4 linked regions of the Lonchura striata genome follow. The protein of the gene in region 3 purifies or fractionates together with the protein of the main gene of each other region. This does not show direct contact. Links are inferred from orthologs where the notes say so. Each region holds a gene or a part of one and is shown on either strand. Other genes may lie near its edges. The genes, in order: TUBGCP4, TUBGCP3, mitotic-spindle organizing protein 2B and TUBGCP2.

What was found.
Region 1: the proteins of mitotic-spindle organizing protein 2B (region 3) and TUBGCP4 purify together in Homo sapiens (affinity purification with mass spectrometry; 3 studies listed by BioGRID and IntAct, counting the BioPlex papers as one, with this or other methods). This does not show direct contact. The link is inferred for Lonchura striata from reciprocal best matches to the Homo sapiens genes MZT2B and TUBGCP4.
Region 2: the proteins of mitotic-spindle organizing protein 2B (region 3) and TUBGCP3 purify together in Homo sapiens (affinity purification with mass spectrometry; 3 studies listed by BioGRID and IntAct, counting the BioPlex papers as one, with this or other methods). This does not show direct contact. The link is inferred for Lonchura striata from reciprocal best matches to the Homo sapiens genes MZT2B and TUBGCP3.
Region 4: the proteins of mitotic-spindle organizing protein 2B (region 3) and TUBGCP2 purify together in Homo sapiens (affinity purification with mass spectrometry; 5 studies listed by BioGRID and IntAct, counting the BioPlex papers as one, with this or other methods). This does not show direct contact. The link is inferred for Lonchura striata from reciprocal best matches to the Homo sapiens genes MZT2B and TUBGCP2.

Annotation. Positions count from the first base shown.
Region 1 is NC_134613.1:24,617,795-24,625,378, reverse strand, and holds the start of TUBGCP4 (gamma-tubulin complex component 4), read left to right. Parts: upstream 1-4,577; 5' UTR 4,578-4,618; coding exon 4,619-4,696; intron 4,697-4,813; coding exon 4,814-4,942; intron 4,943-5,519; coding exon 5,520-5,642; intron 5,643-6,028; coding exon 6,029-6,082; intron 6,083-6,535; coding exon 6,536-6,592; intron 6,593-7,145; coding exon 7,146-7,225; intron 7,226-7,584. Other genes in the region: ras GTPase-activating-like protein IQGAP1, read right to left, coding at 1,595-1,646. UniProt on the Homo sapiens protein: Component of the gamma-tubulin ring complex (gTuRC) which mediates microtubule nucleation.
Region 2 is NC_134604.1:91,911,264-91,918,424, forward strand, and holds the start of TUBGCP3 (gamma-tubulin complex component 3), read left to right. Parts: upstream 1-4,149; 5' UTR 4,150-4,325; coding exon 4,326-4,401; intron 4,402-7,161. UniProt on the Homo sapiens protein: Component of the gamma-tubulin ring complex (gTuRC) which mediates microtubule nucleation.
Region 3 is NC_134613.1:7,856,732-7,864,000, forward strand, and holds the start of mitotic-spindle organizing protein 2B, read left to right. Parts: upstream 1-4,254; 5' UTR 4,255-4,287; coding exon 4,288-4,433; intron 4,434-4,522; coding exon 4,523-4,659; intron 4,660-7,269. UniProt on the Homo sapiens protein: Required for the recruitment and the assembly of the gamma-tubulin ring complex (gTuRC) at the centrosome.
Region 4 is NC_134609.1:37,381,244-37,388,632, reverse strand, and holds the start of TUBGCP2 (gamma-tubulin complex component 2), read left to right. Parts: upstream 1-4,385; 5' UTR 4,386-4,429; intron 4,430-6,162; 5' UTR 6,163-6,296; coding exon 6,297-6,446; intron 6,447-7,155; coding exon 7,156-7,284; intron 7,285-7,389. Other genes in the region: ZNF511 (zinc finger protein 511), read right to left, coding at 1,641-1,710, 2,228-2,413, 2,708-2,832, 2,928-3,129, 3,984-4,057, 4,156-4,380. UniProt on the Homo sapiens protein: Component of the gamma-tubulin ring complex (gTuRC) which mediates microtubule nucleation.

The sequences.
Region 1 (7,584 bases), about 17 Mb from region 3:
GGATCTGATTACTTGTTCTTTACTAGCAAGAGAAAACACTCAATTTCCTTATCCTTGTCACATAAATTTGCCAGCTTCCTTCTTCCTGATTTCTCAAATTCACAGCATCCCTCTTACAACTTCTTAGAAACAATCTTTTATTTTCTTATTTTCTTCTACCTTTGCCTTTGTCTTCCTCAAAAGCACATCAGTGACCACTTGTCCCCTCACCAATCCTCCAATTTTGATAGCAAAAGATTAAGGAAGGACACAAATACATATTAACATCATATAACCCCCTCTATATCTTTATAGTCCACCTCTAAAGCAAGGTAGAAATGCTACTCACACTCCCTACATGGAAGGGAATCATTCAGATTCCCAACCTACATGCCATCTTTGGATCACGCTAAAGACCTACATAGGGGTAATATGCCTAAATCTTCTAGATTTTGTGTGTTCAAAGTCTCAGTAAAAAAGTCTTCTCTTCCCATACTTACAGCTAAATACATCTCATGTCAACTTTTTTAGGTATCATGGACCAATTTAACAAATAGGAAATGTTTCATACTGTTAATAAAGCAAAGGTTAGCTTATACCTAAGATAATTTCAACAACAATCTATGGTGCACTTGTGAGACCCCAGCAGGAACACTGGCATCTTCAGCACAAAACCTGCTAGAGCACGTCCAGAGGTGGGCAACAAAGATGCTCCGGGGCCTGGAACACCTCTCCCACAGAGGCAGGCTGAGACAGTACGGGTTGCTCAGCCTGGAGAGGGCTTTCTCTGTGGTCTCTCTGTACTTAAAAGGGAGCTTATAAAAGGAAGAGGGAAATGCTGATAGGACAAAGGGGAACAGTTTAAAACTAGAAGTGGAGAGATTTAGAGCAGATGACAGGAAGAAATTCTTGAACCAAGAAGATAGTGAGGCAGAGAAGCTGTGGCAGCCCCATCCCTGGAATGTTAAAAGACCAGGTCGGACCGACTGTCGCTTACAACATCGCCCCTCCACAGCACCACGTTTTCCTCCGCCGTTGGTCATTTTTGACGCGGTATAGTAGCGTAGGTGAGCCCGCACATCGGACGCTAAGATCCAAAGCCTCCCTCTCCATAGCAAGCCCACGACAAGGCAATGAAGGTGTCAAATGGGAGCGGTGTTTCGCCCAGAAAATCGGGTGTGGTCGCCAAAATCGGCGGGAAGGCGGAAGGCAGGGCCGCCCCCGCCCCACCCCGCCCGCGGCGGACATCTTGGGCGAGGTGCAAGGCTCGCCCGCGGCAGACGACGGCCGCACAGTCATGGGACGTCGCGTTGCTGCTCATCCACTGCCTTCTCCCAGCACTCGTCTCCAACCCTCAGGAGGACTGTCGAGCTTAGACAAGGTCCCGCGCGGCACGGCGCTCATCTCGCGGGAGGCGCAGCTCGACAGGGCCCGCCAGGAGAGCCGGCGGGGCACACCGTGCCCGAGGGGCAGTCCCGGAGCCCGCGGCTCCCCCCATGCCTGCGGTGGCCCAGCCTCCCCTCACAGCGCTGAACGCTGGAAAGCACGGACGGCTCGGACTGGGCGTCGCTTGGCGGCCACGCGGATTCCCTCACCCCGGGATCCCGATACTTACAGCCATAGTGGGGCCGGGACACGGCCAGCCCGTCCACGTCCTCCGCCGCCATGGCGCTGCGCTGGGCTGGGGCTAGCGGGAGCTGGGCGCGGCTGTTCCTCTTCCTGCCGCACCGGGTGTGGCGGGGGAGGAGTCGCCCCGCCGCGCTCTCTCTCCCCGCCCCGGCCGCACCCGAGGCGTCCCCGCCACCTTCGGCGCTGCTGGAAAGGATGAGTTGCGCAGTCCCGTTCCGGCCGGACCCAGGCCCCAATCTAGCTCGGCCCGTCCCGTAAACCTGAAGGACACGGCTTGGCCGTCTTGTCTCTCCCCGGGGTCCCTCTCCCTCTCACAGGGCCAGCGCCCTGGCTCTGAATCTGTCTGTTAGCCTCATAACTAACACCCAGCTAAGCTCTCACCTAAACTCTGCCAGCATACGCGGGACACAGCCCAGGTCAACCTGGTCATGACCCACATTTTACCCTCTCAGCCCAGCCATGTGTGCGCAGCCCACGTGCGCCCCACTGTGTGCAGTACAGCTCAGCCTCCAAAGCCCGGCTGCCTCCCACATGCTGCTTCGCCTAAGCCCTCTTGCCCTGCCAGGTTCCTCAGCTGCATAGCCCTTCACAGTAGCAAAACCTGGCCTTGCTGGATGTAGCATAAACAGCTCTACTGACCAAACCATGGTAACTCATATGAAATGTCAACCACAAGTGGAAGCAGTGGAAGCCCCTAAACAATAGCAACATCCAGCAGCACTGCCACAGGAGAATCATGCCCTGAAAACTTCCTTCCCCTCAGTACATATTACTGTTGCTTTGCCTATTTCTTGTTCAAGGGTCAGAGTACTGACAGTGTCAGTCACCAGGTGTCCATTTTAATTAGTCACATGAATTTCACTGCTAGGGCATACATTTACTACCTAAGTACACATTAAGTAATTTGGAAAACCAATAGCCTCTGTTAGGAAAAGCATCCCCAGCAGGCAAAGGAGTCAATCTATCATTCTCATCTTCCCAGATGTGGATTCAGTTTCAGCTCCCTCAGTACAAGGAAGACATGGACATAATGGAACAACTACAGTGAAATTGATTAAGGGCTTGGAGCATCTGACATATGAGGAGAGCACGAGAGAACATGCCAAGAAGCAGTGGGCAATGGACTGAAAAATATAAAAAGTCCCATTTCAATAGAATAAAAAATAGTTGTATTCTGAAGGTGACTCAACACTGGAACAAGTTACCTAGAGAAGTTATGGAGTCTCTGTCCTTGGAGAAAATTCAAGCCTAACTAGGCATAGTCCTGGACAAACCTGCTTGAGTTCACCTGGTATTGAGAAAACAAGGTGGGACTGGAGACTTCTAGAGGTCACTTCCAAAATCAGTGATTCCATGAGCCCATCAAAAAGTATATTTACTTACTATATATACACAGGTAACATGGAACAGGACAAGAAGACACAGCCTAAAGCTGTGCCAGGGCAGGTTTAGCTTGGACATTAGGAAGAATTTCTTCACAGGAGGGGTGGTGAGATATTGGAATGGGCTGCCAAGGAACGTGGTGGAGACATCATCCTGTAAGTGTTAGAGGAAAGATTGGATGTGGCACTTAGTGCTTTGATCTAGCTGACAAAGTGGCATTCGATCATTGGTTGGACTCAACAATCTTAGAGAACTGAATTGATTAAAGGAAGACATAATTCAATGGTTACAGAAATAACTACATTGGGAAATGCCAGACATAAATTACAAAACAAAAGGTTTTATAATACAGTTAGGATTCTATTTATTAACATTTGCATTACTTCACATGTAGCCACTTGTAAGTTATGCAATGAGAAGACATTTAAAATAATGTTTATATGTAGAATGTGGCGTGCAGAATTCATTTTGTTCCCCCTAAAAATCTCGTAACATTTTTGCACAGTGCCACAAACCTCCCTCAAAAACATCTCATTCTGATAAGAAAAATAAAACACGATTATTACATGTCATCAAAGAACCTTTCTGAACCTCTTCAAAGCTGGACTCAATGGTACCTATAACAGCTCCCCTGATTTAAGATTTCTGGTGCTTGTTATCGACTTTGCAAAATGTTTTTATTAAAAGTTGTGTATCTGTGTGCCTAATTTATTGCCTATCCTGTTCCTTGTCTTTTTCCCCCCTAGTGTTTAATGAGCACTAGTCAGATGGCCCTGCAAATATCATAGAGATACCTATTTTTCTCTCATTTCAAAATTTGAGCAACCAAAAAATTCTTTTAAGATTTTTGCTTTAATGACTAATCACTAGGTTTCCCAGAGAAAATGAGCACCGAAATCCTTTAAATAAACTACTGTTATCTGTTCTTTTGCAGAGGTTTCCAGACCAATTGTATACTGTGATATTTATGTCAAGGATGCATAACAAATGTCTAGGCCAACTCCTCAGTCTTTATTATGATGCTAGAAGTTTTGTCAACAGAAAGACAATAGTTTTATTATACTCCTCATATATGATAAACAACAATGTTGGGGCTTCCAATTTACACATAAAGCTGTATAGCTATAGCTAGTACATGCCCATATTCTTCCTACCCTTCAGACCTTATTGTGGCAAGCTGAAACAAATACAAATTAGATGACCCTTAAGACTAAACACCAATTTCTTCTAAATGAAGAAGAGTAAACATGTACATAGAGGAAAAAACTGTCAAAAATAGGGGGGGTAAATGAAAAAGAGGCTGCTAAAAAACACTTTATTAAATGACTTCATAGTTTTCAAACTAGACAGTTTTGAATAAAAGTCTACCCGGATTACGACAGGAAGTGAAGGAAAGCAGTACATAATAAATGGAGAAAGGTAAAACTGGCGCTGATAAAACACTGACAAATAACCTGAGAAAGCGATAAAGAAACCTCGTGAGGCGTATCGTAGAGGGCAGCGCAGCTCTGCTGTCCGGGACGGACGGTGGCCATCAGAGCCTCGGCGGCGCTGCACGCCGCAGCCCCGCCCGGCGCTCCCGGCGGCCCCGCCGCTCCCGGCAGCCCGCGCGGCGCCGCGCCGCAGGATGATCCACGAGCTGCTGCTGGCCCTCAGCGGCTACCCGGGGGCGGCCTTCACCTGGAGCAAGCGCGGCGGCCTCCAGGTGTGGCACGGCCCCGGCAAAGCCCACCCCGCCCCGCCTGCCCCCTGCCCCCCACCCCCCGGCCTGCGCGGCTCGTCCGTCCGCCCATTCGTTCCTCACCGCTGTTTTCTCTTCCAGGTGTCTCAGGAGCTGCCGTTTCTGCACCCCAGCGAGACCAGCGTCCTTAACCGGCTCTGCCGCCTCGGCACCGACTACATCCGCTTCGCCGAATTCGTGGAGCAGTACACGGGACATGTACAGCAGCAGGTGGGGTCACTGGGCCGAGGTATTGCCCGGGAAGAGCGCGGCAGGTGCCAGTAAGGCCAAGCTGCCCAGGACACAGCAGTGGTCCGTGGCCCATACCCGCGCTCGCACCACCACCGAGCAGAGCTCCAGAAAGCTCTTCGCGATGCTTGTAAGGGAGGGTAGAGAGCAATGAAGAATAATGAATCAAATGTAAAATCTTATTATTGGGGACGTCTTGTAATAATTTCTGACCACAGCAGACTGGCCAGGGTTTGTCAATTGAGCGGGATGCTCATGACTATCTCCTCATGATGTGCGAAGAGCCTTGAGATCCAAGAGGCACACTTAAGTGAAAAGAAGCACTGGTACCAAAGGCTCCCAGCACTTTCAGAGGTCCACAAAAGAACTAAACATCAGTCTGCTCGAGTAACTGTCATTGTGAAAAGGTTGTATTTGTTTTTCTGATCACTTTGTGGTGAGCTAAGGTGCATTTCAACAGGTTTAAAGCACTGACAACTGCTGTGGCACTGCACAGATACTACATTACTCTTCAGACTTGCACGAGTATGCTGAGGCAGATTTTATTGTTTGGTTTCAGGATCACCATCCATCTCAGCAAAACCAGAGTGGATTGCATGGCATTTATTTGAGAGCCTTCTGCACAGGTCTTGATTCAGTGCTGCAGCCTTATCGACAGGCACTACTTGACCTGGAACAAGAGGTAAAGGAGAGAGATACAGAACAAGAGGCTGTAGTGCTGCTGGCAGATTGTGGAAACTTGTAATTTCTGCAATTAATATGTTAGTAGTAGTTTCTAAGATGAAACAAGGTATTTTCCTTTCCACGTTAGGAATGCCTTCCAAATTATTCCTGTGAGATGCCATTGTAAATTACTTTTCATTCTATTAAGTGTTATCCTCTCTACCTTCAATTCTGTAAGGGCTCCATCTCTGTTAGCCCAGTGCTGTCTCAGACTACTGTGGCTTCTGTTTTCAATTTTAGAGGTTTTGATTAATCTCTGCTAGACTAGTAGCTGTCATACCTTGGGTAGCGTCACCATTTAGTGGTTGTGATAATTAATCTTCATTAATTGCTTTATCTTTATAGTTTCTGGCTGACCCACACCTTTCCATCTCACATGTTAATTACTCCTTGGACCAGGTATGTCGTGTTATTAAAGAAGTAGTGTTCTTTGCTTGTTGTCATCCCTCATTGAGTCTAATAAGAAAGTGGGTGGGATAAACGAGGCTTGTTCCATCATGTCATGTCATTTCTATCTAATGTCTCTACATCTGTAGTCCCTTAATCGTACTCAGAGGATCACCTGCACTTCAGCACAAAACTAAGGTACTCCACCTTGACCCTCACACATTCCTCACTGACTGTGTTTAGCCTTAACTACTGCTGGAATATAGTAACTTTGTGCATCTTGGTCCAGTGAAGGGAAGACATACTTCCTAGAAATTTGCATGTCATGTTTCTAATTTGTGAGGAAAGACAGGTAATAGTTTTATTAAATTATTGTGTTCAGCTGCTGTCCACAGTTACTCAAGTACAGTTTTTTTCTCTCTTCCTTACATAACAACCTACATCAATATTTCACTTGTTCTGCAGTTTCAGTTACTCTTCCCCTCTGTGATGGTCATGGTGGAACAGATCAAAACTCAGAAGGTACAGTAAACTTGCAGTTAGTTTCTCTTAACAGGTTTTCTCTTTAACTGATGAAGTAATTTCTGCCCCCATCCCATATTTCTGAAAGTAGAAAATAATGTCGTTTCAGTAATGGGTGCCCTATTACTAGCTCTACTGTAAGTACTGAGATTATTTTACAAATTCATTTACATTGTATTTGATTTTTTTTCTCTTATCCCATAATCTTTGATGTCTTGAATTTTATAGGACAGGATGCTGGTAGTGGGAATCTTTATTTTCTGAGTCTGTTTTCTCTGGCCATTGCTGGAAATAAAAAAGGCAGAGGCTAATGTTTCGAGAATCCAGAGATGCTTACATTTTTTAAGGGAAAGTATTGAGAGAAGCTTGAGTGTAGAGCCACATATAGAAGGTCTTTTTCATCACTACACCAGCATGTTACATCTTTCTTTCAGTAAGACTTGTTCAGTTTGTGAAGGCATTTTTTTGTTAGCTGAAAGTGTAATGTTTAAATGTATAAAAAGGTCAGTACAGATCCAAATAACAGACCTGGTCTAACCTTTTCTTTCTGCAGATTCATGGGTGCCAGATATTGGAGACAGTCCACAAACACAGCTGTGGGGGGCTGCCTCCTGTTCGCAGTGCTCTTGAAAAGTATGTAGATCCAGTAAAACTATTACTTCATTCTTCTGAAGTTAGTGTCAAAGTGTTTCTTACTTGTTGGAACAGTACGTGCAAAACAGCATGGTATAAAATTAGGAGTACCATGCAGGGGAAGACTGTCACCATCCCCATTATTTATCTAAAGCAGGTTTGTGGTGAGAATGAAGTCTTTCTCCATATCTAAGGCTATTCTGCATATCACTGATCTTTGATCTTTCAAAATGATAAATGTGAATGTGTGAGTGTTGTGATGTTTGTATGTCCTTGTGGAGAAAGTCAAACTACTTAAAACGTCCTGTTTTGAGTAGAAACAAAAGCCATTGCAGACTTACACCTCTGGTATACTAGCA
Region 2 (7,161 bases), on a different chromosome or scaffold from region 3:
GAAAGTAGTTTATATTTCTTTTTCTCATTGGTAATGTGATTTTTTTAAGCTGATTTAAGCAGTCATAGCTGTACCAGAGTTCATAAAACCACAATGAATTTCATGTGCTAGCAACCTGCTCTATCAGAATTAGCATTTCTAAACAGGATTTTAGGATTCATTCTTTCTATTACAAAACAAACAAGGAGGTCTGTGAGGAATGACACTAATCAAATTTAGTTTCCTTCTATTTTCCATTCGTCTTGTCTCTTTCTGACCATTTTCCGCATTATGTTCAGAGTTCCAGTCCCTTCCACTTTCAGTTCTTAAATCATCCATCCACCAAGCTGGGCAAGCAGAGCTGGTACTGTAGGTGGATTGGAGCTAGGATGTGTGTCTATCTGTCCAGGGTGTGTACACACCAATCAGCTGCTTTGCTAAGGGCAAACAGCAGGGAGAAGTAAGTTCCCCATACCTTTCTTTTTCAAAGGGGGACTGACTTAAGCCTTGGTACTCTCAGCTGCTGAATTCCATTCAATTTTACTTATATCCTTAAAAACTCTATGCCTCTGCTGAATTTCTTTAAAATTGGTGATGAGATCCAGCAGTTATGAGGAGGCACTGACATACAGAATAACTGCATTAAACCTCATTTCTTAGGAAAAAGAGACTAGAAATGAGAGAATACATTCTCAGTAATGTAACAGAATGGCTGGCTATCACACTACTTCATAGTGTGACATAACATAGCATGTGGTTGTGTTGAAGTTGAAAAGCTTGGGTTTGTGTTTTTACTGCTGCTTGCAGGAGGCAATGAGCACACCCATTTCAATGGCATTTTCTCATCATGCTGCTCTGTAATGTGTTCTGATTTCAGACCAGTGACACAATTGCTTTAGTTAAAATGAACTAGTGTGACCAGAAAGTAATATCCACTTAAAAGCAGTAGCAGGATATTTGTCAGTGACTGGATTCCCTTGGAATGTTAAGGTTTTATAAAGGAATACCACTTCCAGATATAATTGCCGAGGTTATTTCTTTTGCCTCATGTGAGAACCATATTTGCTGCTTGCTAGATTAACACCTTCCACGGTGGAATCTAAAATCTGAAGTGACTAGCAGCAGTGGTGAGTCACCAGCCCTTTGTAGCACAACTGCGTGTGCTTTGGGCAGAAAAATGGAACAGAGACTCTTCTGCTGTTCAGTACCAAAAAAAAAAAAAAACAAAGAAAGCTTACAAGCTTATACCATCTTTGAAGCCTTTACTTCAGAATTATTGAAAATTAAGCTTACAATTCATATTTACATAGGGTAAAGTTCTGGTAACTTTATTCATTTTGGGTCCTATTTTACTTCTTTAAAAAATGCAAAGAATGTATCACTAAGAACTGAAGAGTTCTAGTGTGAGTAATTAGACTATGAAGGTTTCTACTAGTATATGCCAAGCAACAAATTGCCATACATCCTCAATGTGTTTCAGTTCTTGGCTTGCCACTGTGATTTGTTTCTAGCAGTCATGCTAGCAATGAGCTGATGTTTACATCTGTAATGTTCCCATAATGAAAGGCCATGTCTACATGCCTGCAGAAAGCATACACACAAAATTGTGGCTATGGAAACAGTGAAGCCAAGGGGAGCTGTCAGAAAGCCACGCGTTGCACAGCAGGAATGATTTCACAGCCAGCAGTGCACCAAGCCCACCTGGCTGCTGCTGCTGCAGCATTTCCAGTCACAGGTTACACAGGATTCCAGCAGCACAAGGGTAATAATTACTTCCTAAGTATGCCTTTTGGGCTGGACACAGCATGAATTTACTGAAGAGATAGAACTCAGACACCTGGTAACATCAGTGTCTGTGCTAGGGGTGACAAGCCTGAGGAGCAGGTCACAGGGAGCAGAGCAGACCAGCTGTGAGCGTGCTGTCCCTGGTCCCAGTGCTGCCCAGCAGGCAGAGCCCAGGCCCTCCACAGGGACTGAGGACACCCAGCTGCACAGCACAGCAGGACATGGACACGTGGGTCTAGGATCCTCACACATTTTTCCAGACCCACCCTGATTTGTAATTACTTTGTGTGGAAAAGCCACAAATGAGCCTCGATCCCCAAGGCAGCAAATCACAGAAATGCAGCCACCCCAGCCTGTTCTCTGGGGGGAGTAAGTGAACCTGCCCTGCCCATAAGTAATTCATTCACCATGTTCAATTACTTCTATGGAGTGTGGGGGCAAAACCCTTAGATACCTGTGAGATCTTCAAATTTAGTTGGGAAATCTCTAGTAAAAATTCGTAACAAGGTGAATATCTTCATCTTAAACCATTTGTGTAGTTAGCCGGCTTTGAATGTAAAATATAAGGTAGTGATGTAATTGGGCAAAATTTAATGGGTAAATAACAAAAAAGAATTGAGTTTCAACAATCTAATGGTTGTTCCTGTCATTCCCTCAGTTTATACTTTAGAATTTTTCTTTTCCCTGGCTATGTTCCTTTTCAGCGCTTTTATGTTATGTTTGTGAGGATGTCTGTATGTAGCACTTATGGCTATTGTGGGATTGTTGCAAAATGTGGAATATGTAAATATTTCTGAAGAAAGGGTGTTCTCTGCTGTTTGATCTTTGTATACTTTCAAGCCTAAACAACAACAAGAAAAGGAGATTTAATCTGTGAAACAGAGAGCAACTAAGAAGCTGTAAGCAATGTCCAGGTGTTAGAAAGACAAATTAGTTGTTGGAAGAATTGCTTTGTTAAGGTTAGGGCTCGATATGTTTCAATGACCTCAGACCCGGGGGAGGTTAACCAAACTTGGGAAGAAGAATATACCACTGACGGTGCACACAAAGAATGCAGAATTGAGATGTCACAAGGACATCTAGCAGAACTTCCAAGATCAAGAAGTAAATAACAAAGCAAACTCAGCAACTGTGCTGAAATCAGCTCCGACTGGGTAAAAGGTAATTCTGGCAGGACGAGATTGTGACCCCTGACTCACAGCCACCGACTCTCAAAAGAAGACTGAAAATGTGGACTAATAAGGATGAGAAGCAATGGAACCATGAATATAGAATATAGAATACTAATTAAGAACAGAACTACGTAACTTGTAGCCAAGAAACATTAATTCCTTTGTTTACTAAAATGGATAAATAGTAAAATATTTTGATAGTTAGGATGATAGTAAAAAAAGCTTTTGATGGTTGGGCTTTGCGAATTTGCTACCCAGGACCCCTTTCAGTGCAGAACTGTAAATAAATCAAATACCTCGACTCTGTGTGTATTAGCCTCTAGCACACCGGGTTAAAGAACCTCTTTTGGCAAGAGGACTACTCTGCATCCGTGTCTACGTTCCGCAACCCCACATCCGAAGGCCTCTGGCAGCCCACCATCAAGGCTTTTCGCTCCTGCCCGCGGTGGCCGGAGAAGGCCGGCACTCGGGCACTCCGGCACTCGGGCACTCCGGCACTCGGGCACTCGGGCACTCCGGCACTCGGGCACTCCGGCACTCGGGCACGCCGGCACTCCGGCACTCCGGCACTCGGGCACTCGGGCACTCGGGCACTCCGGCACTCGGGCACTCCGGCACTCGGGCACTCGGGCACTCCGGCACTCGGGCACTCCGGCACTCGGGCACTCGGGCACGCCGGCACTCGGGCACTCCGGCACTCGGGCACTCGGGCACTCCGGCACTCGGGCACTCGGGCACTCCGGCACTCGGGCACGCCGGCACTCGGGCACTCCGGCACTCCGGCACTCGGGCACTCGGGCACTCCGGCACTCGGGCACTCCGGCACTCGGGCACTCGGGCACTCCGGCACTCGGGCACTCCGGCACTCGGGCACTCCGGCACTCGGGCACTCCGGCACGCCGGCACTCGGGCACGCCGGCACTCGGGCACGCCGGCACTGGGGCACTCCGGCACTCCGGCACTCGGGCACGCCGGCACTCGGGCACGCCGGCACTCGGGCACTCCGGCACTCGGGCACTCCGGCACGCCGGCACTCCGGCACTCCGGCACGCCGGCACTCGGGCACGCCGGCACTCGGGCACGCCGGCACGCCGGCCCCGCCGCAGACCGCGCCGCAGACCGCGCGCTGTGAGGGCGGGCGGCTGCCGGCACCCGGGCCGGCGCCCAGGCGCGGAGGCGGCGCGGGCCCGCCCCGGAACCGCCGCGCGGGGCATTGTGGGCGTGCGGCCGCGGCTGCGGCTTTCGGCGGGTCCCGTGAAAATGGCGCCCTAGGCGGGAGCGGGAGGTGCCGCCCGGTCCCTGCGCTGCCGCCGCGCGTCCCGGCCCCTCCTTCCCTCCGCCAACCCGCCCTGCTCCGGCCCTGCCGCCGCTCCTGCATCCCGCGCGGCGATGGCGACTCCGGACCAAAAATCCCCCAACGTTCTGCTGCAGAGCCTCTGCTGCCGCATCCTGGGCAAGAGCGAAGGTAACGGCGTCCCCCGCCATCGCCCGGCGGCAGCGCTCGGAGCCCGCGGGGGCTGCCCCGGCAGGGCTGGAGAGGTGCCGGGCCCCTCGGCAGGGAGCGTCACCTCCCGGCCCGGGGGTGACAGCCCGGGAAATGCCGAGGGGCCGGGCACGGCAGCGGCCCTGCGAGCCGGAGCCCTGCGGCGGGAGGCGGCTGGAGACGGCTCCGTGCCCTCCTCCGGCTCCCCCGGAGCCTTTGGCCGGCTGCTGAAGGCGCTGTCCTCCTCGGGGAGCGGGGCACCCGTGCCGGGGGTTTGGGCGAAAGGGGGCTCCGTGTTCGGGTTGAGGAACCTCCGCCTCCCGCCGGTGCCTGCTCGAGAGGAGCCATAGACGTGCGCCAGGTCCGCTACAGGTCCTCGTGTCTTGATGCTGCTGTGAGTCTCCCGCAGGGCAATGAATCTCTTGTCTGTTTGCCTAAGTTTCTCCCTTGCAGTTAAGGCGAAGACTGTTTTTAGTAAGCAGTCGGAGGGGTGGAAAGGAAGGCGTGCATCTGCGGAGTCTTCTTTTTAAATTGCTCTGTTTATCAGCGTGGCTCGCTAGATAAACTCATGCAGAAGCTTTTATTGCATCTTTTTTCTTGTATGAGAGATGGCTTTCTCCCTTATTAGTAGTGTCCATCAGGTCTCTTATTCTTTTCTCTCTCCATGCCCCTTTCTTCTGAAAAATCCCTTTAGATATTTCCAGGACAGTAACTAAGACTTTTGAGCATTACCTGTTGTAATAAATTACTTGAACATGGCCTACATGTGGATTATTGCTAGTTTAGGACTCTAGAAAGTGTGTAACAAGATGCAGATACATATATTGTCTGTTTCTCAGACTTTGTTCCCATCTGTTGCAGACAGCATGGCATGGTCTCACACCCCGTCGTTATCTCTCAGTTGGAGAGCTATAGGCTTAATGGATGAACTGTTTAGTGAATGAGGAACTGAAACTGGTAGCATGGCCACATCCAAGGAGTTGTAGTCACTGTGTCAATGTCGGAATGAAGATCAGTAGCAAGTGGTGTCCCTCAGAGGTCTGTATTGGGATTAATCATGATCAATATCTTATTAATAACATAGACAGTGGGCTTGAGAGTGCCTTTGGAAGGTTTGCACATGACACCAAGCTGAGCAGTGCAGGTGATGTGCTGAGGGAAGGTAGTGCCATGCAGAAAGACCTTGACAGCCTTGAGGAGCACACCTGTGTAAACCTCAAGCTTATGCCCGTGAGTTGAGGCAATCCCCAATATCTGTTGAGAATGGGGAATAAGTGGATTGAGGGCAGTCCTGCAGGGAAGGATGTGGGGAGTGGATGAAAAATTGGACATGAGGCAGTAATGTGTATCCTGGTCAGCATATTCTGAGCTCCTTAAAAAGAAGCATGGACAGCAGGTAGAGAGCAGTGATCCTCCCCTCACTGCTCTGCTTTTGTGAAACCCCATCTGCAGTACTGTATTCAGCTCTGGGGCCCCCAGTTCTGAAAGGATGTAGATGTATTAGAGCAGGTCCAGAGGAGTGCCATGGAAGTGGTGAGAGGAATGGAGAACCTCTCCTACAAAGCAGATCTGAGAGAGTTCGGGCTGTTGATCCTGGAGAAGGCTCTGCTCAGAGATGTCACTGTGGCCTTGCGGTGCTTAGAGAGGGCTTATAAGAAAGACATGTTTAACCAAGGCCTAAAGTGACAGAACAAGGGGCAATGGCTTTAAACAGTTATAGGGTATGTTTAGATTGGACACAGAGAATAAAGTTTTTACAGTTGGGGTTGTGAGGCACTGGAACAGGTTGCCCAGAGGCTTTGTGAATCCCATCCTTGGAAATGTTCAAGGCCAGATTGAATGGGGCTTTGAGCAACCTGATCAAGTGAAAGATGTCCCTACCCATGTCAGGGAAAGTGGACTAGATGGTCTTTGAAAGTCCCATCCAGTCCAAACCATCTTGTGATTCATCTGAGAACCTTGGTAAAGTTGGTAGGAAATTGGAAACTTTGTCTTCACTGACCTGTTGAGTAGGGGACTCCTTCACAGAAAACACTCTGTGTAACTCTACGATATTAAGGGTCTTTTTCAACGTGAATAATTCTAATATCAATAGCTGTTGATTGCTATGTTTTGTTTTTCAAAATCTTTTCCTTCTCCATTGCATTTTTAAGTCTTCTGCAAGACAGTATTTTTTTCCCCAGAATCTATAGTATTTCTGTATCAGGAATTCCTGTTATAAGATTTTATCAGAATGTGGCAAATTTCTAGTTTTCCATGTCCACCAAATCAGCAGTAGTTTCTTAATGGTTTAATGCCTCTTGTGTTCTTCTGTAACCACATCTTTCTTTTAGCAGGTGTTTTAACTGTATTTTAAAGGATACTTTACATCAGACTACAGTTCTAAGGTGCTCTTCTAGCTTTTTTTTTTAAAGCTCTTTCTTGCCTTTAACATTTTTCAGAAACTTTTTTCTGATACAATTAATATATGTTCTTGTTTAAGAGTATTTCAAACATTTGCTACCAGAAATCTCAAATTATTGTGCTAATTACTAGGTCTATTTCCAAAAACAAATTAAAAAAAAAAAAAAGGAAAATAGATTATATTGCTTTAGTGGATGTCTTTTCAAGGCCATTATTTCTATAATGTCTAGTCCTGTTTTCTTCATTACTCTTTTCTTAGATTTGGAGTCTAATCTAAACTCAATCTAAGCTTGTTTCTTAGTGTTATCTAGGTCTGTGATACTTTAAAAAGTTAAACAG
Region 3 (7,269 bases):
CCTTGTGGGACTGAGTTAAACCCTCACCGTGTTATCCATGCCCCCTTCCTGCCCCTCTGGCCTGGAGAAGTTCCTTGAAGCCCAAGCCTAGTGATTAGTTTGAAATCCCAGCCCTAGCAGGGATGCTTAAGTTACTTGGGTATCCCTGAGAATGCTGTGTGCTGTGTTTTGCCTCCAACCACAGCAATCTACAGGAGGATCAGATAACAGCTCAGCTGCCAAAGTTTAGAGCAAAGGAGAGAAATTTGCTCCTGATGCCTTCAGGCTGCTAGTGGAATGTTCAGGGTAGCACATACATAGCACACATGTGCAGTGGCACAGACATGTCCCAGCTGAATGCCTACTCTAATCTTTACCTAAAGACCAAATATTTGACCCAAAAGGACAAGTTTCAACTTCTGACTTGGAGAATTCTGTCACTCAGTCCCTTCAGAATGGTTCCCAACATCCTTCCAAACCACTTACTTGCTCCTGGTGTCATGTTTGGAAATTGTCCTAAGATGTCTCTGCTTGGATGCCTCCACCTAATTTTGAGTCTACACCTCTGAGTAGTTCTGTCATTTTTCATGCACAGTTTTGCAGGCCTGTCTTCAAACCACCATGCTCAGGCTCATAGAAGGGGAAATTGTTTAAGCTAAAAGGAACACTGATTTAGATTAGATACAAGAAGTATTTTACAGTGTGGGTGGTAAAACCCTGAGGCAGGTTGCTCAGAGAGGTGGTGGAAGTCCTATGTGTGGAAACGTTCAAGGCCAGGTTGGACAGGGCTTGGAGCAACCTGATCGAAGTAAAGATGTCCCTGCTCACAATAGGACGTTGGACTAGGTGACCTTCTGACCCAAACCTAGGATTCCATGATCTTCCAGGTGAGACCATCCTAGTGCCTTGCTAGTGGTGTGGCTGTGTCCCTCCCCAAAACATCCCAGGCATGATGATTCTACACTACCAGCCCTACACTTCTTGCTGTTAACATCAGTGGGGGCATCCCAAAACTGAGGTGGGGAGCAGTGCTGGAAGCTGCTCAGAGACATCCCTTTAACATAGCCCAGCGTTTTACTTGGTTATCTGGTTCCTCGTGTTAAATCCATACCCATGACTTCAGCATTGGAAACTGCATCATACTGGGTGCAAATCAAACTTCTTCCTTAAATGTAACCAGGCTAAATTATCATAAAAGCGTAGAATCATAAAATGGTTTGGGTTGGAGGACACCTTAAAGCTCATCTTGTTCCAGCCCTCTCTCATGGGCAGGGACACATTCTACTACAATGCTCTGCATCACCTTGTCAAAGTTAATTATCAAAGATAAATCATTACCTTATCCTGAAACAATGTATCTGTGATAAATTCTGTTTGCATTTGCTTTTCTATCTGGGAGCTGGTTTCCTTCAAAAAAACCTCAGAAAGATAGAAAAGTCCAGATACATTTGAATCCCTCTTTTCCATTTTCTGGATGTGGTAGGCACATTTGCTGCATTTGTTTGAGATTTGAACCATATCCAGGTTTTCTTAAGCCTGGCCCTTCTTTCATAGGGAGGTGACCTTGCTCCTTCCCTCCCTGGTGTCATGCTGACCCTCATCTCATGCACTGACAGTGTGTCCTCAGCCAGTGATTGTACCTCAGTCATTCTGTCCTTCCTGTCCCACTCAGCTTGATGACCTGCACAACCACCAGTCTTTCTCCCGCTGCAGTTACCTCTGCAAGGCACAGCCTGGCCCTGGTGTGCTCCCCTGGCCGTGCACAGCGTGTCCTGGTGCCCAGGGAAGGCTCAGCATCGCTTTGCCTCCATTTAGGGCCATGTCTGAGCAACCCGCAGTTCTTTCTGGTAACTCACTCCAAGGATTGCAGGCTCTCTGCTGCTCCTAGCTCTCTTTTCCTTCTGCTCATGCAGGCTGTTGGAGCCTCCTTTGCCCCCATCTGCTCAGCCCCTCTCTTAAACATGTTCTGCAAGGGCTGAGATGCAGCCTGGCATCAGCATCCCGGGCTGTCCTGGCTCATCCTGCTCTGGAAACCATGGACTGAGTGGTGGTTGGGCTTTAAAGTCCTGCCAGAGGCAATGGAGAGTGTCTGGTGGGCTGCAAGACCCAGGGTCCTCCTCAGTGTCATTTAAGCCAGAGTCCCCTGTGCCACCCAGAGTGCAGCTCCAGTAACTGAGGCCTCCTCAGGGGAGTTTCCCAAGGACTTCCTCTACTGACCTGTTGGACTGGGAGAGCAAAAGGGAGAAACTGAGATAACGGAGCCCCCAGGAATGCTTCAGAGAAAACCTTGAAGTCCAGAGGAGAAGGTTGTCACTCCACGTTGCAGACTAGGCCCATCCAGGCTTACACCGAGATGCGGGGAAGGTGTGACACAGCTGTGACCTATGAAGGAAGCATGTGAGGGACAGAGTCTCCTGTCCTTTGCCCTGGGAAGGTCTCCAGCCCTGTGCTGGTGACCACAGCACACAGGGAGAGCTGCCAGCTGGAACAGATGGACAGGGAAGGAGGGAGGTACATGCTGAAACTTCTCCAGTTTGTTGTACAGAAGGCAGTTCCTGGTTTTCTCTCTCTCTTTTTTTTTTTTTTTTTGGTTTTGGTTTTGTTGGGGGTTTTTTTTTGTTTTTTGTTTGTTTGTTTTTGTTTTGTTTTGTTTTGTTCCAAGAGAAGGGCTGAGCTGAAAAGCATCTCACTTTCTTCTGCTGTGAGGTGTAGCTGAGCTCTCACATGCCACAGGCTGAGGGAGGTTGTCCATGTGGGACCAAGTCTGGAGACTGCATCACCCACACAATGAGGGCGCTTGGCATTTGCACTCGACTACCAGCCTGTCCCAAAGGAAGTGGCACATCATATACCAGAACAGGCAAGAGATCAAGCACAGGGGTGTTTTTCAGTCCCCCTGTATCACAGACTCTACACTCCCTGCTCAGCTGAGGGTCCCTCTGAAAGTCCAGCTGTTGGGACAACCTTAGGCTCTGTGGCTTCAGCATTGGCAACCCCACAGACAGTGCAGTCACTCATGCTGGAGCAGCTGCTCCCACTCAAAACACAGCAATAATTGTTCTTGCTGGGCTGGTCCTGCTTTGGGCCATAAAGAGCAAGATCCTTCTATCATTATCCATGTCATTCCTGTCTTGGCTTCTGCCATAAATGTCTGTTTGTCAGCCTGGCCATCAAGTCACAAGGTTGGGGCACCCTGACAGACTCACAGGTTGCTTGGGATGTGGAGTGGGAGCATCTGTCTGCTGTGGCTTGGTGTAGGGATGGGATGGGGTCTGTCATGGCAATGCTGGGGGGACACAGTGACCCCTCTGCTCTGTTCCCCATTAACAGCGCAGCTGCAGGGCCTGTGTGTGCTGGGCTGGACCATCCTTCCCTGATGGCAACAGATCATTTCCATTTAGATAGGAGGGATTTCAATCTCAGTTTGCCAGCTCTTCGCCACGGTGCGACTCAAGACCCAAATTTCCTGCTTTTTCCCGCATGATGCCCAGATGCTCTCTGGGCTCAGGGCCTGCAGCGTGTTCAAGGGAGCTGGCGCCCGGCCCAGGGGACAGCTGGGGTGAGGACGTGGGCTCTGTAGCTCCGCGGGTCCCCATGGCACCTCCGCACCCCAAACTGCTGCACTGCCCTTCGTGCTCAGCGGATCCCGCTGGGTTCTGCCCTGCCCTGGAGCGGAGGCGCCTGCGGGGAGACCGCGTGGGGGGCAGCGGGGCGGATACGGGGCACTGCACAGCGGGCACCGGGCACTGCACACCGTACACCTCACACCGCACGGTGCACACCTCACCCCTCTCACCTCACAACTCACGCCGCACACCGCACGTCTCTCCTCACACACCGCACCCCTCTCACCTCACGCCGTCACCCCGCGGGCGCTGCGGCCGCTCCAGGCAGGGGCCCGCGGCCGGGGGCGCGGCTGGAGCGCTGCTGCCACCTGCCGGCCGCGCCAGGAGCAACAGGCCCGGAGCGGCGGGGACTGAGCCACTGCCGAACACTGAGGGGGCGCGGCCCGGTGTGAGGGGCGTGTCCCGGTGTGAGGGGGCGTGTCCCGGTGTGAGGGGGCGCGGCCCGGTGTGAGGGGCGTGTCCCGGTGTGAGGGGGCGTGTCCCGGTGTGAGGGGGCGCGGCCCGGTGTGAGGGGCGTGGCCCGGTGTGAGGGGGCGTGGCCCGGTGTGAGGGGGCGTGTCCCGGTGTGAGGGGGCGTGTCCCGGTGTGAGGGGGCGTGTCCCGGTGTGAGGGGCGTGGCCCGTTGCGAGGGGGCGCGGCCCGGTGTGACGGGCGGGGCCGCCAGGGGCGGGACCGCGCAGCCATGTCGGAGGGACCGGCGACAATGGCGGCCCCGGCGCCGATGGCGGAGACGCGGCTGCGGCGGAAGCAGCTGCTGAGCGCGGAGGAGGCGGAGCTGTTCGAACTGGCGCAGGCGGCGGGCAGCGGGCTGGACCCGGAGGTGTTCCGGTGAGCGGTGGGGGCGCCGCCGCGGGAGCCGGCGGTGACGCCGGATCCCCGTCTGACAGGCGCTCCCGCTGCCGGTGTTCCCCTCGCAGGGTGTTGCTGGACCTGCTCCGCATGAACGTGGCGCCGCTCGCCGTGTTCCAGGTGCTGAAGTCGATGTGTGCCGGGCAGCGGCTCCCGCCCGCCGCCGAGAGCGGCCCCGCCGCGCCGATGCCCGCCGACAGCCGAGGTACGGGGCGGGGCGGGCGGGGCCCTTCCCCGGGGCGGGCCCGCCCCGAGCGCGGCCGGAGCCCGCCGGCCGCCGGCCCCGCGCTGCGCCCGCCGCGGCCCGGGGCGCGCCCGCCGCTGTCCCGCGCCCGGGCCGCCGCGGGAAGGGGCCCGCGGGCCGCCCGGCCCGGCCCCGGCGGCGCCCCGGCCCGGGGGGCCCGCTCCGTGTGAGCCCAAGCCCGGGGGGCTCGCTCCGTGCGAGCCCAAGCCCGGGGGGCTCGCTCCGTGCGAGCCCCGGCCCGGGGGGCCCGCTCCGTGCGAGCCCCGGCCCGGGGAGCCCGCTCCGTGCGAGCCCCGGCCCGGGGGGCCCGCTCCGTGCGAGCCCCGGCCCGGGGGGCCCGCTCCGTGTGAGCCCAAGCCCGGGGGGCCCGCTCCGTGCGAGCCCAAGCCCGGGGGGCCCGCTCCGTGTGAGCCCCGGCCCGGGGGGCCCGCTCCGTGCGAGCCCCGGCCCGGGGAGCCCGCTCCGTGCGAGCCCCGGCCCGGGGGGCCCGCTCCGTGCGAGCCCCGGCCCGGGGGGCCCGCTCCGTGCGAGCCCCGGCCCGGGGAGCCCGCTCCGTGTGAGCCCAAGCCCGGGGGGCCCGCTCCGTGTGAGCCCAAGCCCGGGGAGCCCGCTCCGTGTGAGCCCCGGCCCGGGGGGCCCGCTCCGTGCGAGCCCAAGCCCGGGGAGCCCGCTCCGTGCGAGCCCCGGCCCGGCCCCAGCCCCGTCTGTCTTAGTGCTCGTGGGTTTTAGGCAGCGTGGGAGCTCTGGGGAGGCTGCTGCAGTACTTGTGCTGCGTTTTGTAGCCTCCTGGCTCTGCTCGCCAAGCCCTTAACAGGAGAAAACCACTTTAATCTACAGTAATATTCAGTACTGCTTTGTTTGTATATAACTTTTAAAAAGTTAAAAGTTTTCGGGCTTGTTTGTATATGACTTTTGAAAAGTTAAAGTTTCCGGGCCATGAGGAATCCCTGGAAAAGGAAGAGAGCTGTATTGCTTCCTTTACTCTATCCCCCCATGTTCGTGGTGGCTTCTAACACTCATCCAGCTGTTTCCATCCTCCAGCGATGGAATTTGTGTGGGGAGATGAAGTAGAAGGCTATGGGGGACTGTCAGATAAAGCAGTTACTGCTTTTGAATGCATTTATCTCTCCTTAATACTATAATGTCCGTGAACAGTAAAAACCATAGCCCTGAATTTGTGCCATATATATATATATATATATATATATATATATATATATATATATATAATTTTATTTTATTCATAACCAGTTCTAATAAAATTTCCATTTACTCCCTGAAGTGACTTTTTGCTCACCAACTCTGTGGATTACTTCCAAAAGGTTTAAAAATAAGTAACTAAAATAAGTCTGCTGTCACTAAGCCTGGATTCACAGTGGAAAAGTTTATTTCTCTTGTGCTCAAAAGTGTGTCAGACAGGGGCAGTGGTTGGTGGTTGGGCACGTTTATTCTCTTGGCTGTGCTTGCAAGTCATGTCGAAAGTGAAGTTGAGAGGGGGTTTAATTTGAAAAGCAGTCACTTTTGGGATAAAGGAGTTATGCCACAATCTGGTGCTTTTATAATGGCAAAGTTCAAGGTGAATCCCCTCTCTGAGCAGCTGAGGGGAACTCGGGAAGTTTGCTGAAGCTCAGGCAGAGTGTGTGGATAAAGTGTCCAGAGCTCCTTGGACTCGCCATGAACAGGTTTCCCTTTCTCAGGAGGTTCAGAATTCTCTGTAGAGGAGGTGGTTGTGCTGAAGAGAACAACCTCACATGTGACTGAGAAGTGACTCTGAATATGCACAGGGGCAAGAGAGGACAGACACCTGAGTACTATTTCCTAAACAAAATGGGAGAGGTGCAGCACTTGGATTTTTGTCAAGTGTGAAGCAGTGAGCTATTCTGGTACCCCATTAAGAGGAAATATCCCAAAAGAGCAGAGATTTTGAGCAAAGGATGCTGTTAAATTTTGCTCTGACTCCTCTGTTGCTGCCCCATCTGTTACAGGCTACTCTAACTGCGAAGGGAATGTTGGCGAGGTTTTTGTTCCTGTATGTCTGTAATGTGGAGCAGCTTTTGTTCTCTTATCTATGCTCTTTAAGGGGCACTTTCTGGACAAGTGAGGCTTTTCTTTTCCTAGCACTGAGCTACTGCTATGAGCTAATTTTAGCTAGTAGTGGGCTCGCTCAGGGTGTGAGACAGGCCAATGGCCACTTGATTTTTAATCAGCATTAAATTTCTTGAGAGGGAAAGCCAGAAGCCCTCAGGTAGAGTTGGTATGTGCTTAATTGTTGCCTTCTACTACCCTGCTGCAGGCATCTTCGAGAGGCTGAGACTGCAGGAGTTAGTAGTTGTCTTGAGAGCTTAATTTGGTGCTCTTTCTGCATCTTTAGTAGAGCATCTCCTGGTCTGACTCAGATTTCAGTTCTAATGTGTCCAGCCAGGCTTTTCTCTTTGTAGTATCCCTTTAACATGGACACGTTAATATCCTGGAGTTCTCTGGGACAAGCCCTTGAAACCAAAGGGAAAGTGTAGTGAGGTTCAGGGAAAGATGGTGTTGTTTGTGGTAAATATTTCTGGTATTAGTTTGGCT
Region 4 (7,389 bases), on a different chromosome or scaffold from region 3:
GCCGCCCATCCCACATGTCCCTCCCGGCCCTGGGTGGATCCAGTGCCGCTGCCGCCCATCCCACATGTCCCTCCCGGCCCTGGGTGGATCCAGTGCCGCTGCTCAGGGACATGGCACCCCTGTGCACCCCTGGGCTCTCCAGGGCAGGCAGGTCCATGTCCTCCTAACAGTGCACAATCTCTGGAGAGATGGAAAATTTAAGTTTTGGCTTGAAATACGGATTTTTGACAGCCACTGGCCAGCTGGGAAATACTTTGTTGCCCATGGACGCTGGGAAAAGCTGGTGGCCTAAGAGACAATCAGTAACTACAATTTGTTTCCCAACAGCAAGGGTGGGCACTCGAGGACCCTGGGCTCTGGGAAAAAGGAGTTCCCAGGTCAGAACTCCTGAACACAGTAAGGAAGAGCAGACTGGGCTGCTGCCCAACCTTTGTACCACCACACGCCAAAGCCTGCAGGCATCTCCAGTAGCGTGGGGCCTGCTGCTTGTTCCCAGATATCCCAGTGTGGGGAAAAATGCCTCATTCGGGGCTTTAGTGTTGGGAAGTGACTTTTTAGTCCCTGCTGAGAGATGTCCCTGGGCAGTTGTGTGGCTGCAGGGTTTGCTTGCTGGAGACAGCACTCTCCAGAGCCCACGGAGCAGGGATTAGGGCTGGACAAGCTGGATGAGTTTTAAACATAGCAAAGCTTTTTAAAACTTACTGGGAAATCTCCTGCATCTCCGTAAACATCATTCCCTGCTCCCATTTGCAAGGATTTTTCAAAGCCCCTTTGATCTTCTATTCCTCACAGAGAGGGGGAAGGGAAAAAAAATTAAAATTATAGATCCTAAGCTTCTTGGATAAACATTGTTCCAGAAACCTCTTTTTTTCCCCTTGTGCACAATTTTTGAGTGTCAGGATTCACCAGGACCCCAAGATCAGTGGCTCTGTTTCCAGTTTTTTCCAGGAACATGAAATTACAAAGGAAAGGAAAGGCAAGAGGGAAAATAACCTCCATCCCAACCTGATTTTGGCACCATTTGCAGCAAACGAAGGGAGGTTCATTCCACACATCTGACTCTCCTGGGCTTCAAAAAAGCACTTAAATTGTCTATGAAGCAATTTTGTAAAAAATTTCTTTTATTTATTCACCTGGTTGGAAAACACTTTATTTGAACTCCCAGTGAAAATGCTTCTCCTGGCCCAGACAAACTTCTCAGAGCAGGTTCCAGGGTGCAGAGGAGACTTCAGTGAGATGGAGGAAGGCAGAACTGAGGACCAATGAGGTTTTTTCTCCTCGTTTTCTTTTCTCAGTTATTCCAGCTTCCATACAGTCACGTTGGCATCTTGTAACTTCTTGAATCCATTTTTTTACCCTCAAGAGGCAAAAAGTAAAACACCCAGTCCCATGCAGCCTCAGCTGCAGGCTAGTTTCCTTAACACTTCACCACACGTTCTGGATTCCCTTTCCTCAAATCCTGAGGACTCTTAACTCAGTTGGGTGCTGCCAGTTCTGTTTGCCATCAGGAACATGTGCCCAAATGCTGGCAGAGCTTTAACTGGTTTGGGTGGTTCATTCCATGGAGTGGGAACTGGCAATATCCCTGGTGGCACTGGCTCCATGCCTGCTCATCTTGCACAAATCTGCTGCACCGACCTTCAGACCTTTTTCCGTGGTCCTTTAAATCCTCGGGTGGCACCTTGTCCAAAGCAAATTGTGGATGGGATCCTGGAAAGGGAGACAGGCTTTAATCCATGTTAGGAGCCCAGCCCTCACAAGCTCGCTGGGATGCTTAATGCTCTGTGGGGCATTTTAAGCTCCCAGACTGGGAAGAGCAAGGAATTGGAGGAGCAGGACATGTAAATCACCAAATAATTTAAAGAACAGGTGAAATACTGGTTGGATTCCAGTGTACTCTGCACATTCCTGTCCTGGAGGGCTCTTTACAACAAGGTGTTACTAAATATAACACCTGGGTAGCTGCAGTGGTTGAGGAGCAGGAGAGCAGCAGCAACATCCTGCAATACCTTGGGAAGAGATCAGGTGGGCAGACAAACACAGCTCCCACAGCGTACCCATGTCCTGCTCCTCCTTACACTTCCTTCTTTCAAAAATGGCTTTGGAAGCACTCTTGGGATTCCTGCCTGGTTTATCCTCAGCACAGCAACACCCCAAGGCAGGCTGCAAAGGGCTGATAAGATGGAGTGCTCCCAGCCCATTTTGCCCCTGAGGCCAAAGTACTGACCTGGATTTGTAGAGGCGTTTCTCTGGCAGCGAGGGGCCAGGGCTGGCTGCAGGCTGGGAGATCTCCATGTTCTCCTCAGGCCCTGTTTCCATGGCATTCACTTGGAATTGCTCTGCCATCTCCACGCTCACATCCATGGGCACGCTGCTGCCCTGCTCCATGGGAGAGCTTGTGTGCTTGGAGCCACTGCAGAGACAAAATTTTACATCCTGGCTGAGGAGCTGCCATGTGAGCCCAGAGCCAAGGAAGTCAAAGGTACTTCATGAGGAAACAAGTGCATCTAGGATGGATTCCTTCCCAATATCCCATCTATCCCTGCCCTCTGGGAATGGGAAGCCATTTCCCTTGTAAAGAGTCTCTCTCCATGTTTCCTGTAGCTCCCTCAGCCACTGTAAGGCCACACTTAGGTCACCTCAGAGCTGAACAATCCCAGTTCCCTCACACTTTCCTTGCAGGACAGGAGGAAAGTTCTGCAGTTACCTTTTCACCTTCTTGGGCCTGTCAAAGCGAAAGTCAGCAGGATAAAGGTGCACGGTCACCAAGTGATCCTTCCTGTCCTTGCTGCTCTTGAACTTCTCTGGGCAGCCTTCCACCAGGCACTGGTACTGAAAGGCAGGGAGGAGAGAGGAAAAAAGACATAACTGGAAAAAAAAACGAGCATATACCAAGCACGAGGCAAGGGCTGGGCATGGCAGCTCACCATATTTTGCTTCTCAGCCATTATCTGGAAGAGGGAATCATGCCACTCCAAGATGTGGATATCCAGGAGATTCCCAGAGGGAAAGGAGCGCTTGCAGAAGGAGCAGACATTCCTGTGCAGGGTGTTGTAGTGGTGCTCGTAGCTCTCCAGTGTGTCAAACACCTGGCTGCAGCCAGAGATGTGGCAGCTGAACTCGGACACCCTGCAGGGAAATCAGGACTTTAAGCTGAAATTAAAGCTTTAAATTCAGCTACAAAAATGCCCCCTAGATGACTTATCAGAGAAACCCAGGATGGCTTGGGTTGGATTGGACCACAAAGCTCATCTGATTCCGACCCCTTGCCATGGGCAGGGGCACCTTCCACTAGGCCCACACCTACAGCCACAACACTTGTGGCATTTTTTTGTGCCTAATACTTAAAATTAAATGCCAGGTGCAATGGAACAAAGATCGTGGTGATGCTGGCAGCTGGAAAATTATTTGCCATTGGAAACTTATTAACCATTATGGCTCCTGTTAAATGGTACTTCGGTGAAGAACAAACAAGCCATTAATAAATAAATTAGCTGTCTAAGCTAAACGCTGCAGCTGTGGATGACAACTCCAGTGATTTTTTTAAGGGTTATCCATAGGTGAATCTCACACAGCACTCAAAAGTACTTCCTGTCTGGCAAGACCAAGATTCTTCTCCAGGCTTGGCCTTCCTGCTTGGAGCTGTGCCAGCTGCAGCAGCCCAGAGCAGCTGTGGCTGTGCCTGGACCCCTGGTAGTGCCCAAGGCCAGGCTGCACAGGGCTTGGAGCAGCCTGGGACAGTGGAAGAATTCCCTGGCAGGGTGGGCAGGCCCTGGCACAGGGTGCCCAGAGCAGCTGTGGCTGCCCCTGGATCCCTGGCAGTGCCCAAGGCCAGGCTGCACAGGGCTTGGAGCACCTGAGACAGTGGAAGGTGTCCCTGCCATGGCAGGGGGGAGGAACGAGATGATCTTTAAGGACCCTTCCAACCCAAACCATTCCTTGATTCCATGACGGGAGGGCTCAGACGAGACCGCCTCACTCACTTGGGTCTCTCGGCCACCTCCTGGAGGCTGCTGAGGACGCCCTGCAGGTAGAGATGCCTGTGCACGTCCCCATCCTAGAGAGGAGCAGAGAGCGGCGGTGGTTGTGGGCAGGGCTGCAGAACGCAGCTCCGGGGGGAACCGCGCCGGGAGCGGCCCCGCGGCGCCGCCTCACCTCGAAGAGCGGGTGCTGGGGGCCGAGGCGGAGGCGGCGGGGGGCGAAGGAGAAGGGCGGCGCGGGCGGAGCGGGCGGCGGGGCCGGGGGGTCCCGCGGGAGCGGCGGGAGCCCCTCACGGAGGAGGCGGCGGAGGCGCGGCGGCAGCGGCAGCATGGCGGGCGGGGAGCGCAGTGCGCCTGCGCGGGGCGCGCTGAGGCGGCTCCCGCGCCGCCCGCCGCGCATGCGCGGGGCGCGCTTCCCGGCGCCAGCGGCGGCGTTTCCGGGCGGGCAGGTAGGGATGAGATCGAATTGAATTAAACGGAATTAAATTTATTTAATAGAATGGGATAAGGTCAAGCAGGGTATGGAGGGTGGGCTGGTGCGGGGGGTGCCGGCGGTGGCGATCCCTCCGCTGTGCCGGGTGCGGTGCCCTCGGAGGCCGCTCCGAGTCCAGCCCAGCTCCCGCAGCTTCTCCTCCTTCCCTGCCTTTGGGAATAAAGGTTTGGGTCAGACTAAAGCTCAGGGCACAAGTCTTGGAGAGCGAGCTCACTTGTGCCGGGCGCTGACAGTACACACCCACTTCATAACTACCCCAGGGTGTGGAGTCTATTTATTTATTCCACATATCCCGGCACTTGGGCAGCCCGCGGGAAATCCCAGCGGGATCACGGCCCCAGGTGCTGGGGAAGCTGCGCCCTTAAAGAGATTTAAGTTTGGGCTGCAGCAGCCTGTTCTAACTCGAGTCAGCTTTGAGTGGAGAGTTGGACCACGGCTTGCAGGGATCCCTTCCAGCCGAAGTGATTCCATGATCTTGGCAAAACAGAAGTGTGTCCTTGTGTTTGATATGGAGTGTATCTGCTTGATGCAATCTCTGCAAGGTGTCACATGGAGCTTCTTATTTATCTCCATGGTTCCTGGCTCAGGGTCTTACGTCTGATTTACAGAATCACAGGATTTTCTGAGCTGGAAGGGACCTACAAGGATCATCAAGTCCAGCTCTTAAGTGAATGGCCCATTCCAGGATTGACCCACAGCCTGGGTGGTGTTAGCACTAGGCTCTGACCTGCTGAGCTCATCTCAGGGCTCTGTGTCAGTATTAAAGTTGTTATTTAGGTATTCTCCAGGGTTTGAGTGAATTTAATAAAGTGGGCAGTGGAATAGGAGGACCCCTAAACTTGGGGAAAACTGCTTTGTGGTGATTTCAGAAGCAGCAGTGGGGTCAGCTTGTCAGGACACCAAGCAGTCCTTCCCGCATTCCTTCTGAATGAAAAAATCCTCTGCTGGCCAGCCCCAATTTAAGAGTCTCCCCCAGTCTTAGACTTCCTGGCTGGAGCTGTCCCACCTTCAGCAGCCCAGAGCAGCTGTGGCTGCCCCTGGATCCCTGGCAGTGCCCAAAGCCAGGTTGGACACTGGGGCTTGGAGCAGCCTGGGACAGTGGAAGGTGTCCCTACTCATAGCAGGGGTGGCACTGATGCCTTGAGAAGACTGACATAGAACAGAGCCAGACAGAGTTAAAGAATAAAGCAGGGATTTATTAAAAGGATCTCTTCAGTGGATCCACCTTGGGCAGCACCAGAGCCCAGCCAGGGCTGCACCCAAGATGAACCAAAATGGTCCCAAAATGCACAAGCGCTCACAGGGGCTCTCACTTTGATCAGTTCTGCTCCATTTGTACATTGGAGTTCATTGTCCAATTCCAGCTTTAGGTTATGAAGTCCCATCCTTCTTGGTTTTTTTCTTTTTTTCTCTTCAATTCACCATTGTTTGTGCTCTTGGGCCTGAGATTTGAATCATTTGTCCTTGGTCTCCAGCTAGAGAAGGAATTGTTTTGTCTCCCTCCTCTGTGCAGAGATCTCACCATCCCTTAATGTGAAGCCCAGACCTACACACTAAAGCAGCAGAGAACCTGAAAAATACAAAAGCTAAACCTGAGGCATCAGAATGAGATGGGCTTTGAGGTCCCTCTCAACCCAAACCATACAAGGAGTATCCCTGCTTGATTTGCTTCCTCCTCCTTTATCCCAGCCAAACATCTCCACGTTCCAGAAGCATCTCCCTGGCGGGGCAGGGAATAACCTCTGGGAGCCGGGAATAACCCCTGGGAGCAGGAATAACCCCTGGTTGCCGTGTCCCCAGGGCTGGTGGCCCGAGCTGGGAGCATGAGCGAGTTCCGCATCCACCACGACGTGAACGAGCTGCTGAGCCTGCTGCGGGTGCACGACGGGGAGGGCGCCGAGGTCTACATCGAGCTGCTGCAGAAGAACCGCACGCCCTACGTCACCACCAACGTCTCTGCCCACAGTGCCAAGGTCCTGCCCCCTTCTTCTGGGCACAGCAGCTCGTCCTGTTGGTGTCCATCTAGGGAGAAAGATCTCTGGTGGGGTCTGGGGCCACGGTTCTGGGTGTGAAGTGGGAGGTCTGCGTGGGAAGAGGTGGAATCCTTGAGGGAGAAGAGGATTGTTAGGACTGGGGTGTGGGAAAATTCAAACAAGGAGGTTGTTTTGTGGCATATTGGGAAGGAGTTGTTTCCTGGGAGGATGCCCAGGGAAGCTGTGTCCCTGGATCCTTGGAAGTGTCCAAGGCCAGGCTGGATGGGGCTTGGAGCAAGCTGGGATAGTGGAAAGTGTCCCTGCCCGTGGTACAGGATGGAACAAGATCACCTTGACATTCCCACCCAAACCTTTCCTTGCTTCCATGATGAAATGAAAATTGTATAAAATGCAGTTATATGACTAACATGTGGCTTTTTTCTTCTGAATATCACCCAAATATTAGAGATTGAAGCCTGGTGCTCATGACCAGACTCTTCTATAGCTATATAACTCAGATAGCTTTTATGGCTATAAGGTTGCTTTTTGTTTTCATTTTTAAAAGCAAGCCACCAGTCGAGCTCTAAGTGCTAGGGAGTTTCTAACTCTGTCTGAAACTTGGCATCTTTGTAGCCCGAGCTGCGTGTTTGCTCTAATTCCATTTCATTTTAATTGTAACTCCATTTAATATTAACGTGGTGTTTTACAGGTGAAAATAGCAGAGTTTTCTCGAACTCCTGAAGATTTTCTAAAGAAGTATGATGAGCTGAAGTCTAAAAACACTAGACATCTGGATTCTTTAGTTTACCTGCTGTCCAAGCTCACTGAAGACAAAGAGGTTGGTTCCTTGTTTAGAACTGAATGTTGAAGAATTGCAACAATGCAATGATTTCAAGCCCAGCTTGAATTAAAGTTCAGTGAAATCTGTAAAAATCAACAAATA